Tribolium castaneum: one gene and its partner. The protein of the gene in region 1 purifies or fractionates together with the protein of each later gene. This does not show direct contact. Links are inferred from orthologs where the notes say so. Each region holds a gene or a part of one and is shown in the gene's direction. Other genes may lie near its edges.

Region 1 (6,997 bases):
ATAATAATTATAATAATTTGCATTTTATTAATGTATTTTGCAAAAGAAAAAAAAATAATGAGTAAATAAAATCGTATACGTGGTAGTAAATCTTTTGTACTATTTAAAAAATCTTCAAATACTTAAATATATTTATGAGTTGACGTTATTGTGTGAAAAATAAGGATCCGGTGTTGCTTGGTTACACTGTTCACCATAATAGCTCACTTCCCGTACTCAAAATGAAACCGGGAACCTGAATCTACCGGATAATGATATGAAATAAATAAAAATATGTAGGTAAGTATATTACCATTTTCAAAAGAAGATAATATGTATTTAGTACAAATGAGGCATGCGTCCCCATAGCATATTTACTAAGGGGGCGACGTTGCCGTAGCCACAGCCCCAATAATCCTCTTTTTTTTTATTTTCCAACTAGGAGGGGCTGCTAAAGATATATTTTTACAGTATCTCAAAAATAACAACCAATCAAAATTCAAATTCAAAATTCATTCTCTATACATCCGATTAATCGTGTTTCAAAATTGTTGAATTCCCAGTTCAGAGCGTTGTAGAGAATGACTTCACTAGTCCAAATGTAGAAACAAAATAAAGATTTGGAGCTTCCCCACAAAGATACACTAGTTTGACGGTGCACTTCAGGTGCGTTTTCTTCAAATACAGGCAAAAAATTTTAGTGTTTATTGTTATTTATGGTGAAGATAATTGTGTAAAATAATAATGCAAAATAATTTCTCGAAAATTATCAAAATTTAAGATTCCTTTCTCTAATATAACGCTAATTTTTAAGAAAATTATTTTACATAATTATTCTCCACAATCATGTACACCATATATCGCAATAAAAACTGGAACTTTTAGCTTGCATTTGAAGAAAACGCAATTCAAAAGTTATCTTCAAACTAGTGCATCTTTGTAAAGAAGCCCACAATCTTTTTTTTCTATATTTGGATTACTGAAGTGATTTTCTACAATGCTCCAAACTCGAAATTTGCCAATTTTGAGACACTCTATATATATAATTTTTTTAACATTCTTTTTACAATTACTTATATATTCGAATTGAAAAAAAAACAACTTAAGATTTCATAATTTCATACGACATTCAAAGACGAACAATGCTAAAATGTTGCTTTGCGCAAAAAAAATTGTCGCTGGACTCAAAGTGTAAATGGTGGACGAAAAAGACAAATTGCGGTTTAGAGATCGACTTATCGAATTTCTACTGCTCGAGGTATCTAATAATAAATACAGCGGAACCTCGATAAATCGAAACTCTAGATCTTGAAAATTTGATAACAGCCATTCCATTTTAACGGACGGGACACTTTGCACTGTTAATTTCAGTTTTTACGAACAATATCAGTAGAAGTAAATTTTTCTTTATACGAACTTAGTCCCAATCAAATTGTTTGCAAACTACAACTAGAGCCACATTTATAAAGTTTGAAATACCTTCAAGAAAAAAAATACAAACTGATAACAGACGAGACACAAAAAAAATCGCTGAAATAAGCTCACATAAAAAATACACACAAGAAAAATGCCCACACGAAAAAAGATCACATCGAAAAAAATCACAAGGAAAAAATCCACATAGAAAAAACCTCAAGTTGAAACCACCCCACAAAGAAAGCCCACCTAGAAAAGAAAAGTCCACCCAAAAAAAACACATAATTAAAAGCCCAACCGTCAAAAAGCCCAAGGAGAAAAAACTCACAGAAACTCACTAAATTTCAAATTTAGATTTTATGTTAGATACCCTAACATAAATAAATAGGAATAAACCCAAAGTAAATAATGTAAAAAAATTTGTGTGCCTCCTAGTCGCTATCCCCAGCTTTATAAAGTGAAATAGCCTAACTTTTTCGAAAAAAATTGATTGTATAATTATTTCTGAAACTATACAGTGCATCTACCAAAAATAAAAAGCGATTTGAAGTAGTTGAGAGACTGAACTTCTGATTTTTTTAAATTCATATCACTTGTCACCTCCGAGTCGCAACCTCAATCTCAATTTGTACTTTATTTCACTGCAAAAAATGCAAATGCGTTGTTGCTAAATTCTACTATGAACCGACATGGCATACATGTATTAATATTTTTAATAAATATTTATTTATTGTATACGAAATTATAGAAAAATTCTGAAAAAATTCACATACATAGAGAAAAAATAAAGTATTTAATACCAAACGCTGATTTCCGTGAGATTACTATTTGTATACACCTTGTACAATACGATTTTTTTAAATTTTGATCTAGTTACCATGAGTTTCGCCAGCAGAAACGAATTGCGTAAATATCTTCAGCATTGCTTTATCTGTCACTATGTCCAAAATGTTCAGCAAAGAACAAAAAAATTATGTTGGAATCCAGGTTGGAACCTTCTTCCGTAATGGACATCGGGTTAACGTAATAACGTTAACTGTCATGAATAACTAGATCAAAAGTTTAGTAAATCGCATGGTATTTGGATGAGCACTTTAAAAACAGGTCTCTTAAAATTGTGTGATACACACTGTATTTAATAAGGTACCCAACAATTTTTTTAAAAATTTGTAAGCGTAGATAACTTCAATGTTTTTTAAATGTAGGATCTATAATAAGTATAATATATAGTAGTAATAATACAATATTAATTATTAATAAAAAAAGTTAGTTGATATACCAAATAAGTGCTACTGTCAACAATTAATGAATAAATTATTTCATTTTAGCATAATATGCAAAAACAATAAAACTAAAAAACAGAAAATAAGAAAAAAGTCACAAAATAATAATCATACCAATTTATTCTAACAATTAGGCTAAAATTACCGAAAAGTAGTCGGTGTTGTCTTCTAAAAATAAAATAATTTGACGTTTTTAAATGTTTTGTTAGTTAAAAATAGCAAATTGTTTCATGTATGAAACTCGGAGCCAATGAATCAATTTCGGAAAAGCCCGAAATCAGCCAAAAACTTTAAATAAATCACTTGTCTCCAGGCTACCGTCCTAAAACATCGATTTCTTCCAAACTAATGACAGGAAGTTATGTATACATAACCTCAACCTCTAATGAAAAAACCATTTGACAAGCCACCGCCAACTTTATGAACATTTTTCTTTTTGTACAAAACCGGTAAAACTAAAAAATGATCGAGTTACTGAAACTGGAACAATATCCGCAATTTTAGGGCGTGTAAGTTAGAAAACCACAGCGACTAATGATAAGGAAAATTTACTCACACGACCATTCCGTATGCGCCTTCTCCAATGTATGATAAGTTCGTGTAACGGGGGCCCACCTCAAATACCTGACCCCTTACAACTTCTGCATTCGGATTTACACTTGATACACCTGTGGCTTCCGCCATTTTTAGCGAAACCTCCTAAACTACCTTCCTCGATGACAAACTCACGCACACTGAAGCCACAGACTGAAGCAGAGAGGAGCCGATCCCTAATATTTATCAGCTGATATCAGATCGTTATTATTCACACTTATTACCAATTTTTTCAAACTCCAACTAATTGTAGACTCGTTAGTAACGTTTTCACGTGGATTTTTCCAAATTTGAGGCTTTTTTGGTTTTTAAAACGAATTTATTCCCAGAAAAGATAGCCAAATAACGCGCCCCCTGGTGGACCAACTGAACACTAGTCGGGAAGCACCCTAATTTTATTTTCCATTATCGAACCCACAATAGGGCTACAATTTTCATTTTGGCGGCATTTGTAATACCCTATTAGACGTTCGATAAGTTTTTAAACAGAAAAATAAAAAATTCCGATATTTGGTTTTTGACAGATGACAGGACAGGTGACATAACCCACAAAAAAGTGACGCACTAATAAAAAGTTGTTAAAAATTAATAAGCGGTTTAAAAAGCTCAGTGAACAGTATTTCCATTCAGGATGAATGCGCCACCAACCTTCGAGTCATTTTTGCTCTATGATGGAGAGAAAAAGTGAGTGGGCAAATTCTCTGGACCAAAAATTTATTTTTACAAATTGTGTTTTTAGGATAATAAGGGAACAAGACACAAAAGTGCCAAACGCGGCTATTTTTACCATAAACAAAGAAGACCACACGTTGGGAAACATGATCAGAAAGTGTGTAACAAAACATTAAGGTTTAGGTTGAATTATTTTTGATTTTTTAGCCAATTGTTAAAAGATCCGAACGTTTTGTTTGCTGGATACAAGGTGCCTCATCCACTTGAGCATAAATTTGTGTTGAGAATTCAAACAACATCTGATTATTCGCCTCAAGAAGCTTTGATGAATTCTATCACAGATTTGATTTCAGAGTTGTCTTTGTTTGAAGAACGTTTTAAGGAAGCGATCAAGGAAAAGAAAGAAGGTTTAGATTAAGTATTTGAATTTATTCACTAATAATAAAGTTTATGCTTCGATAAATCAGTCTTTGTTATGTACCCAAAAATATGTCTTGCGTCCCAGCGTCAAAAGTTTAAAATGACTTGTTTATTTATGATGGTTAATAATTCGTTTTCAATTTTTATTCAAAATAAGCTATTTAAGATTTATTAAAAGGTGGCAAAGTCTGTGCTTTAAAGCACTTACGTAAATACAGTAAAACCTCAGTGATCCGTGTACACAGGCTGTCCGTTTTGCGAGCTCCACCATGAGTAATAAAATTTTATCGGTCTATTTAAAAATTAGCCTGTATATCGAAAGTGAGTTTTCAATTAAAAAAAAAACCTCAAAAATACTTTAAAACTTGGATGATTTTTGGCTAAATTTTGAAAATAATTCTGACTGCACCGTTATGTCATTTAGGTATTTAAGAACAATTTCATTTTTGTTTACCTTTCCAGAAATTTTTTCTGACTTAATTATAATTATAGTGGTTGAAGAAAGAAACGAGCATGTAACTGTTATTAACAGAAAAATATATTTTTATTTAATTCACAATCCTTTATTTACAATTAACCTCATCAACGGATAACTTACAAAACAACTAATTTGTGTCAAATAAATATTAACTAGAAATTTTTACAAGATATTTATTAATTTGCTAAATAAATTATTAATAACAGAATATGTTCTAAAATGTCTGATCCTCCTGGCAATCTTCTGTGGCATGACCAAAGGCTGAAACAGTAATTAAACCAAATGTTAGAAAGTAAAAATTCTTACCTTCGCATATTTCGCAATAAGGCCTTTCCGGCACATGTTTATGCTCCCCCCTCTGTCCTCCATTAGCCGGCGCTAAGTCAGTATTTTGTTTGGGACAGTCTTCCGTTTCGTGCAAATCAAACTCTTCGCAAATATCGCAATAGACCCTCGGAGGCACTTGACGCTGCGGCGAACCCATCCTACAAAAACCCCATCACAAAGCAATCTCCACTAACAAATCCCTTTACAATTTCAATTCGTCAGCCATTGCCGGACTATATCCCGACTCCAAGATCTCGATCCTCGCCCTTTGCTCTTCCGTCTTCTTCTGCATATCCACGATAATCGAATTGAGGAACTTGATCTGGTTCTCTGCCATCTCCTTGTCCTGAATAAGCTGGTGACAATTGTTACATTTGGCGTTAATCTGCGAGTGAGTTAATGACTGAGCCAAAATAGCGTCCATGCAATGTTGCAATGCTGCTTGTGTGTGTCTGTAAACTTGGTTCAGGTTTCTGACAAATGTTGCTCGAGACGCGGACACCGACGAAACATGCTGGAAGGGACGCAAAGGAACGGAAGGAGAGACAGACTTCATGACATGCAACATCGGGAGAGGAACTGCAGGTAACTGCTCTTGTCGCAAATTCGACAAACCGTTCAATTGGAGTTGCAACTGTTTGATTAATTTCTTGTATCGACACAACTGAGAGGCGTAAGTGTGCACCCGTTTTAGTAATCTGGCCTGACACAGTGGCCCCTTTGACGGGAATCTCGCACGATCTAACTGCGCAGATTTAGGACCGAAATCACAATTCTGTTGGTGTTTGAGCAATTGCAGCAAATTTCGTTTGAACAATTCGAGGTTATTTGACCCAAAACCGCCCAAAATTACTGCGCTTACTACATTTTCAGGTCGTTCGCAATTTCGAGGAAGCGGCAAAGTTGGTAAAATAATTTGACCCGTCTTATTGCAAGGTACTGAAACGAGTACCGGTTTTGTGATAATTTGTGGAGGTTGAGGCACTGGTACTTTCTCAATCACAACTTTTGGAGGCGGACACGACTTACCATTGACCATTGGTACCTTAACTTCCTTAATTATCACCTTTGGTGGTACTAATACACGAACCGGTACTTGTTTCTCCACGATTTTGGGTACTTTAATATACACTGGTACCTGCTTGACCAAAACGTTCGGACCTGGCGATTGTTTCATGGTAGGTTTACCTGATTGTGGTCCCAAAAATTTATTATCGCCAGATTCAGTATTACAAGGTTGTAGAACGAAAACTTTTCGAACAATTGGTACTTCCTTAACTACAATTTGTGGTTTAGGGCATAAAGTAACAGGTTTAGCACCAACTGGAACCAGTCCAGCGTTATTAGATGATGCATCACCTGGTTTATGGTTCACTCCTTCAGGTTTTATATAAACCGGTACGTGTTTAACAATAATCCTCGGAGGCTGTGGTACTTTAACAATTTTTGGTCGACAATTTTCGGGTTCTGAGCCACCTTCCTTGCACCGTCTTTGTTCCAAAAGTAGCGAAAGCAAATTTTGTTTGAACTCGTTAACCGAACCCAATTCGTAGTGATTTAGATTCAATGATTCGATTTGGTTTTGCAGATTAGTACATCCGTGAAGACCAATTCGGGGCAAGTGGCAACTAGACTGATGGTTTGATATACGGCTTGGAGAATTAGTTAAACTGCCAAGGTCTCCAGGACGAGGTACGGGATCTACGTGCATTTTCGTGCAATATTTGCGTTGTAACTGATATAGGCTCTCTTGGAACTTCTCAAACTCAGTAGGATTACAGCCTGGAAGGCGTAATTTTAAGACTTGGTGTTGTAAATTCTCACAATC
Region 2 (7,534 bases), on another chromosome or scaffold:
GAGCCGCTGAATTCAATGGAACAAACCGCATTGCTCTACGACTTTTAGTTTTCGAGTTATGAATTTTTTTAATGAATAAAATTTTCCACTATGGCATGTTTCAATTGAAACGTTCAACTCACTTTAGTCAAATCAGTTGCCGTACATTCAATCAAAACATTTTTGGTGTTGAGTGTAATTTTGGAGTGATCCCCATTAATAATCGGCGGAAGGGATAAAATAACCCCATTACTGTCCAAAACGAGTGGATATACAGGGCTGTCTTTGATGATGTGCAAGTATTGTTTTAGCTGCGCGTGCGCCTGAAATATCACGTGACTGTTGGGAATCCCCCAAACTCGGTCAAAATCTTACTGAATAGAGCTCCATAACGCCGTTGCCGTCACACTCTTTGGTTTGATTAAGTGGTACAAACTTAAACTCAGAAGGTGGTTTAGCGTCATAGGTGAAGGGCCCCTGAACTGTATCTAAATCGTGCGTCCCGATTGAGACAAGCGTGCGTTTGCGGCAAATATTCTGATGCAACTTATCTTGCAAATCAATGAAACTGTTGTAAGAATCTTGAGTGAAGTATAAATTACGCAAAACGGCGCCTACGATATAAGGCCTGATTTTCGCCGTTTCGGGTGTGACGTGAATTTTTTGAATACTGTCTGATGACGGTTTGATACGTTTGTAAACCGGCGGCTGAATTCTACAAAAACATTACAGTGCCAAAGTCAAGGCAAAACTAATGACTCACTTCCCCTGAAATATTTTAATTCCTAATGAAATGCCTTCAAGACACAATAAATCGTATCTGTTTGCAGGAATGTCAATTCGATAAATGACTTCCTCGGAGGCTCCCGCCGCCTGGGCTGAATCCTCCCCTTGTTCCTTACTTATCATCTGTTTTTCAGTTGTCTTGAAATTTAGGGCATTATTGCATCATTTTATCGCTTGAAAGATTAATACTTACGACTTCGTCCAGTTCAAGACCGAACTCGAAGCATAAACGCTGGAATTCATCGTCGGCTGGAAATTGCAAATTGGGGCAATAAGGGGGCACAGTGATCAAACAACTTACTGAAAGTGCGCCCAAGGGCTTCGAATAGCAAATTGCGCTTGACACCCACAGTCGGCATTGTATTTTTTATTTACTATCACGTTTTTGTCTAAAAATGAACACGTTTAAAGTGTTTCACAACTGAAAAAACGATGACATGTGCGGGACCTGTCAATGTCAAAAGTTGAGGTTGGGTCAATTGTCAGCATCAGCGATCAGTTTTCGAGAAAAAACGCCAGTTTTTAAGATTATTTAACAATTAGTCTTCGTCAGAACTATAATCGGAACATAATAATGCAAATTTAATTAATTTTTTCCCACAATATTTTTTTTCGCCGGTTGTATTGGCACACCTGTCAATTGCGAGACGTAGCGTTTCTTATAACCTTAAAGTTACTTCGCCCAAACAAACAAAAAATGGGCTCAAAGAAGAAGAAGCGCGTTTCCAGCAGCTCCAGTTCATCAGATTCAAGCAGCGAAAGCTCCGATTCATCACCCGAACGGCGCCCGAAACGTAAAAGCAAGAAAACCGAATCGAAACCTGAGACTGAAGAATCGCCGAAGAAAACCAAAACGAAGGCAAACTCGCATAAAAAACACGAAACTCCGCCTGTGGCAAGTGACGAGGCGAATAAACAGGCAAAAAAGAGGGACAAAAAGCCAACAAATGAGGAAGAAACCGACAGGTATGATTGTTGGTGGTTTTAAGGGAAAATACTAGTTGTGTTTAAAGGAAACGCAAGCGGAGTCCTGTGCCTGAAAATCGGGACAGGCGGGAGAGGGACGATAAGAGGGTCCGGGACGATCGGGGGCGGCATGACGACAGGAGAAACCGCCCCAATGACCACCGTTCTCACGATAACAGGTTCAGAAACCGGCGTCCTGATTACAGAGACAGGGAACGGGATTACAGGAACCGACGGGACGATAACAAAAATTACCACAACCGGGAGCGAAACAGAGAGAACCATCCAAGGCGGCGTAGCAGAAGCGCCTCCTTTGACCACTCGAACGCCCGTTGGGGCCGCGAGTCGGACGACAAAAAATCCGACAAGAAGGAAAAAGACCAGAAGGAAAAGCAAAAACCGAATTTCGGTCTTTCGGGAAAACTTACCGAAGAAACTAACACTTATCGTGGCGTTGTTATAAAATATAGCGAGCCGCCTGAGGCTTGCAAGCCGAAACGTCGGTGGCGGTTGTACCCTTTTAAGGGCGAAAAGGCCCTTCAGACTTTATACATACATCGCGAAAGCGCCTACTTGATTGGGCGCGATCGCAAAGTTGTTGATCTCCCTGTAGATCACCCTTCGTGCTCAAAACAACACGCAGCTTTGCAGTATCGCCTAGTCCCTTTCACGCGTGAGGATGGCACCACTGGTTTGTGGGACAGCTGGTAGTGTGTTGGGTTTTTCATTGTTTTTTTCAGGGAAGAGAATAAGGCCGTATTTGATTGATTTGAACTCGGCTAATGGGACTTTTATCAATAATAAGAAGATAGAGCCGAGTAAATATGTGGAGTTGTTGGAGAAAGACGTGATCAAGTTTGGGTTCAGCTCAAGGGAGTACGTTTTATTGCATGAGAATAGTAAAGATGAGACACAGGATGACGATGTGAAGCAGGAAGAGCCGGCGGTTCAAGTCAAGAGTGAAGAGAATTGAATTTTGTGTATATATTTTAATTTAGCTTAGGTTTCTTTCAATAAAGTAATTTTTTCGATTAAAATTCCCGCTCTTACGATTTAGTTATTCTCTGGGCAGATGGCATCGCAGTGTGCGCGTTATTTTGACATTTGTGTATTTGAGGTTGTGTTCGAAATAAAAACTGTTCAATTGATTATTTCGTTTAATATTTAAACCCGTGAGTGTTTTTCCCCATCATTATGTCGTCTCAAATGAGCACGAAGGAAAAACTCCTTTACATCCTCGACGATATTGAGTTAATCTCCAAGTACGTCCCCCTTTCGGGTCATTTCGTATGGTTTTATTTGCGTTTTTTAGAGAAATAATCGAGAATTCAATCGCCCCCAAGCACCTCAAGCTTTCCGGCCCTGAATACGCTCAACTGACCGAGCTTTTGGTGGCCAAAAACACCGAACTGACTGAAACCCTTAAACTGGCCGCTGAACAGGCGCAAATCGACAAAAAAATGGACATCTTGAAGGCCGAAGTGGAGCGTCAGGACAACGACATTAACAACTTGCAAAAACAGCTCAAAGAGGCCGAGCAAATCCTGGCCACTGCGATTTATCAAGCCAACCAGAAACTCCAGTCCATTTCCCGCGCAAATAAACGGCCGGTCTCGTCCGAGGAACTTATCAAATTTGCGCACAGGATTAGCGCGTCTAATGCGATATGTGCCCCCTTGACGTGGCAACAGGGGGACCCGCGCCGGCCGTACCCCACCGATATTGAGATGCGGTTGGGGCTGCTGGGGCGGCTGATGAGCGATCCAATTAACGGGCATTTGTTGCAACAGCAGAACAGTTTGTCAGATTTACATAGACAGGGGCACCCGGGGGAAATACCCGCCGCGCAACAAAATCAATTTGCATGGCATCCCTCGGGGGAGATTCACATGAGTGTGGGGCAAGGGAGTGTCCCGATGGACACGCGGAACCATAAACAGGAGACCGAGGATGTGGAGGTCATGTCCACGGACTCCAGCAGCAGTTCCTCAAGCGATTCTCAGTAGTTTTGTGTTTTTTCCCTGGACTTGATTCATCATATTTATATAAAAAAATTAAGCGAGTTTGTGTGGAGAGTATACCATGAGGGGAAATAAAATGATAAATCAATAGATTGAGGCGGCTATTTGGGGAAAAAGTCTTGTCTGCTTATCTCATCAATCAACTCTTCGTGACAGTTTAGATAAGATCTTTGTTTGCGTCTGACGAATATTGTTTTCTTATGTTTGTTTATAATGGAAGGAAAATAAAACACATTTCATTGTAATACCAACGTCTATTATTTAATTATTCCCTACAAGCTGAAGTGATTCAAATTTATTGTTTGATGAAATGATAATCACAAAAATGAAGCAGTTTCTCATTTTCTGAAATTTCTAAACAACACTCACTTTCTATAAAAACAAGTTTGTTGTTTTGATTGCGTCTTTATGATAGGTACAAATTTACAAGTAGGTTTTTTGATTTAAATTTTTATCGGATATGTGAGTTTTTTATCACAGGGTCGTAGTGTGATAATTTGAAAATTAAACCGCGTTATTACAGCAGAGCTAGGGCTGAAAAACGAGAGAAAGTCACCGAATATTATCGATATTCTTAACAATGACATTATCGTATCACAGTATCGATAATGATAAGTTTCCAACTGTAATCAATTTTTCGAAATACTTTAACAAACGAGTTATTTATTGTCATTATTACGCGATATGGGTATCAATAAATCAATAACATACAGGCGACTCATTTCCAAGGCTTGATCAACTGGTGGTGCTTGAGCTTAACAATGCACTTTGATTAAACAACGCTTTAATGAATATCGACAATAACTGATTCTTTTTTAACAGCTCTACTCCCATTATTACCATGTGTTAAGGTAGTGGCGATGCACTTATTGTAGAACAGCACAAAGTGTCTCAACTTTCCAAAAATAATAGTACCTTTGCAACAAACGGAATTTCTCTTGTTACCTAATTTACTCAAATATCAAGAAAAATACTCTCATTTGATTCGCCTAGAGCACGTTTTCAAAGGACTGGAAACGTAATGAGAGTGAGCTGGTAGGGCTCAGTACAGCAGACTGTCATTACGTACTTATAAATAATCGGGTTTCTTATACACTTAACTTTACAGATATATACAGTACCACATTTTCCGAACTGTCAATTAATTATTACATGTATTTGCGCACTAAAGTACATTTTGTAGCTAAAGGCGTGTATTTACAAAATATTAAAATAATTTAGTGAAGCTTGGGTCCCGCGTAAAACCAGCGTGGTACCTCTAATGAGCTAATTTAGGATTCCTATAAATATATTATTGTCTTTTGGTAATTATTGACCTGAACGAATGCTATGCACGAGTATTAAGTACAGTAAGTAATGTTTAAAAGAAAATAGTTCCTAGTCAGGAGGTGGTACTACGAAATTATCGCCGTTTACGTCAAATGTAGATCACCTTTTAAAATTCTAGTAAAAGTCTTTTTGAACTGTTGGTTGGCAAGAGCGTAACAGAAGGGATTAAGGGGGCTGTTGGCGTAGCAAAGGAAATAGGAGAACATGTAAACGTGTCCGTTGACGCACGGTGGGTCCGAGCAGAATCCCACGACGAGAGCAAAAATATGGTATGGGGTCCAGCAGATGACGAAAGCTCCCAAAATGAATGAGATGGTTCTGAGGGCTTTCCTGGCCCTGTTCTCCGACTTGGACTTCTGCCTCCCGAACCCCCCGAACGGTACCACCGCCTTCTTCTTCTTCCCCTTTAGCTTCTTGCCGATGTTTTTGACGAAATCCCTCTTGGCGGCGCCGTTATCGTCCGTGTCTGTTTTAGTAAAAGTTTTATTTCTGCTGACTTCGACAATGGTCGTCGCCGCCATGATGGCGGCCGCATTACCTGTCTGGCTGATGGCGGAGAGGCCGCAGGGGGTGCTGGGGTCGGAGTCCCTCGCGCCATCAACCGACAGCTCGCAAACACTGGTGATAGGCCGGTCAGAGCTCAGAGTCACCTCCGTGTTGACTTTCCTAGTCGTGCGGATCAGCGTCGTCTGGAGCAAAGACGCGTTAGTGGGAGGGGGCGTCGAGGGGGGGCTTTCGCACGAAGGGGAGGGGACAACGACCGAGCTCTCGTCCATGTACCGCAAGTCGGCGCCGTCTAGGCCGACGAGGGCGTCGTAAGGGGTCACATGCAAGTTGCGGGGGCGTCCGGGGGGGCTACTCTGGAACTGCTCGGGGGGCGGAATGATGCTGTGAGTCGATTTTGGCGAAGGGGAGGGCTGAAGAGGGGCGGAGCAACCTACCGGCTTTTGCGGATTGGCCGAGCTCTGCTCGGAGATCTGAGGCAGAGTGGGCGAGCGCTTCTCTGGTTGGCTGGAGGGGATGCCGCCGTTCACGCGATTGTTGTTCTCGAACATGTGGAGGGGGGCGCTGCTCTGTACCACTATCCCTACTATGGAAGAGCGCTTCTTGGTTTGGTGTTGGGCTGAACTGTCCTCGTCCGATTCGAATGCCGGGCTGCTCGACCTCTCAGACTTGTCTTGGTCACCGCTAGACGTTTGACCTGTAGGAAGACACAAGTTTTTCCTCTCCACGTTGTTCGTATCGGCTGTTGTCGTCGTCGTGGTCACTGTCGTGCTACTTTTACTAGAACTAGTTTTCTGACTAGAATCCTCCTTCAAAGTCAAATTATTTCCTGTAATTCCCGATTGGTTATTCACAACTGCGGCGATTGTCTGTGGCTTATCCTGGCTCAGTAAAGTACTCTGAGTCTTCGACAGACCAATTCCTGCTGCTCGTCCTGCCATTCCTGACATCGCTCCTGCACTTAACGCCACCATAGACTGCATCTTCCTCTGTTTCGCTTCACTTTTCTTCTGCATATCGTAGGCAGTTTTATAAATCCCTCCGTACAAAATAAAAAGAACAATCAAAGTCGTCCAGTAATAACCTATGATAAGAGCAGTGTTGAAAATGGGGTCTTTGAGGAATTGTACGGCACATTGTCCCGGCTCCAAATCTCTATAACCGATAAAGTGCTCCCAACCAAATATACTAATAAAAAACAAAAGTGCCGGTATGATCCACGTGATGGTAACCATCCAAACCACTCGTGGTTTCGTCCGCCAACTTCGGTACTTTGCTGCGATTTTCACCGAACAAAAACGGTCGATTGTTATGAGAAGTACAGTGTACTGGGAAACCAAACAAACTGTGTAATCAACGGACAGCCACAAGTCGCACAGAAGGGGTCCCAAGTCCCAGGAACCCATCAGCACGTAGACGGTGTAAAAGGGCATGGAAACGGTGCCTGGAACCAACCACTCTGTTCACTATCTCAATGATTGACAATTTTCTCAAATAAATTACAAGACTTGTTAAAATTGTGTCACCTATGAGCATATCGGTGGCGGCAAGCGACGCTATGAAGTAGTTGCTGGGCTGCCTGATGTTCCTGTCGACGATGAAGGCCAGCAGGACCAGTATATTCCCGGCAACCGTCAGAATAATGCACAGTCCTAAACAGATCGCAATGAGGATGGTTTGCCAGAGCTCGAAGGGCGGCAAGTGAGGCGTTACACTGGGAGCAAAGTCGCTGGATCCGTTCTTGGTGGCATTAGCTTCGAGAAAGTCGATGTTGGAGTCGTTCCCCAGGATGTTGAGCGGATCCCACGTCTTGAAAACGGTGGTGGAATTGAGTGCTTGCGTGCATTCGCCGAACGAAAGAATTCCGCTGTAGACAGTTTTGCAGATTTTCTCTCGTTGTTTCTGAAGTTTCCTGCAACAAAGTTGGATTGAACGCGTTTTTTTTTTTA

The links.
Region 2: the proteins of Polr2J (region 1) and MED4 purify together in Homo sapiens (affinity purification with mass spectrometry; 3 studies listed by BioGRID and IntAct, with this or other methods). This does not show direct contact. The link is inferred for Tribolium castaneum from reciprocal best matches to the Homo sapiens genes POLR2J and MED4.

The regions. Positions count from the first base shown.
Region 1 is NC_087395.1:21,128,708-21,135,704, forward strand, and holds Polr2J (DNA-directed RNA polymerase II subunit RPB11), read left to right. Parts: upstream 1-3,660; 5' UTR 3,661-3,903; coding exon 3,904-3,956; intron 3,957-4,011; coding exon 4,012-4,101; intron 4,102-4,151; coding exon 4,152-4,362; 3' UTR 4,363-4,407; downstream 4,408-6,997. Other genes in the region: mitogen-activated protein kinase 1, read right to left, coding at 3,235-3,362; uncharacterized protein CLIP-190, read right to left, coding at 5,057-5,103, 5,149-5,327, 5,376-6,997. UniProt on the Homo sapiens protein: Core component of RNA polymerase II (Pol II), a DNA-dependent RNA polymerase which synthesizes mRNA precursors and many functional non-coding RNAs using the four ribonucleoside triphosphates as substrates.
Region 2 is NC_087397.1:1,781,312-1,788,845, reverse strand, and holds MED4 (mediator of RNA polymerase II transcription subunit 4), read left to right. Parts: upstream 1-2,803; 5' UTR 2,804-2,925; coding exon 2,926-2,993; intron 2,994-3,043; coding exon 3,044-3,737; 3' UTR 3,738-3,999; downstream 4,000-7,534. Other genes in the region: beta-PheRS (phenylalanine--tRNA ligase beta subunit), read right to left, coding at 123-302, 355-694, 743-903, 959-1,014, 1,067-1,124; uncharacterized protein LOC661495, read left to right, coding at 1,463-1,731, 1,779-2,422, 2,472-2,704; mAChR-B (muscarinic acetylcholine receptor gar-2), read right to left, coding at 5,165-7,029, 7,112-7,497. UniProt on the Homo sapiens protein: Component of the Mediator complex, a coactivator involved in the regulated transcription of nearly all RNA polymerase II-dependent genes.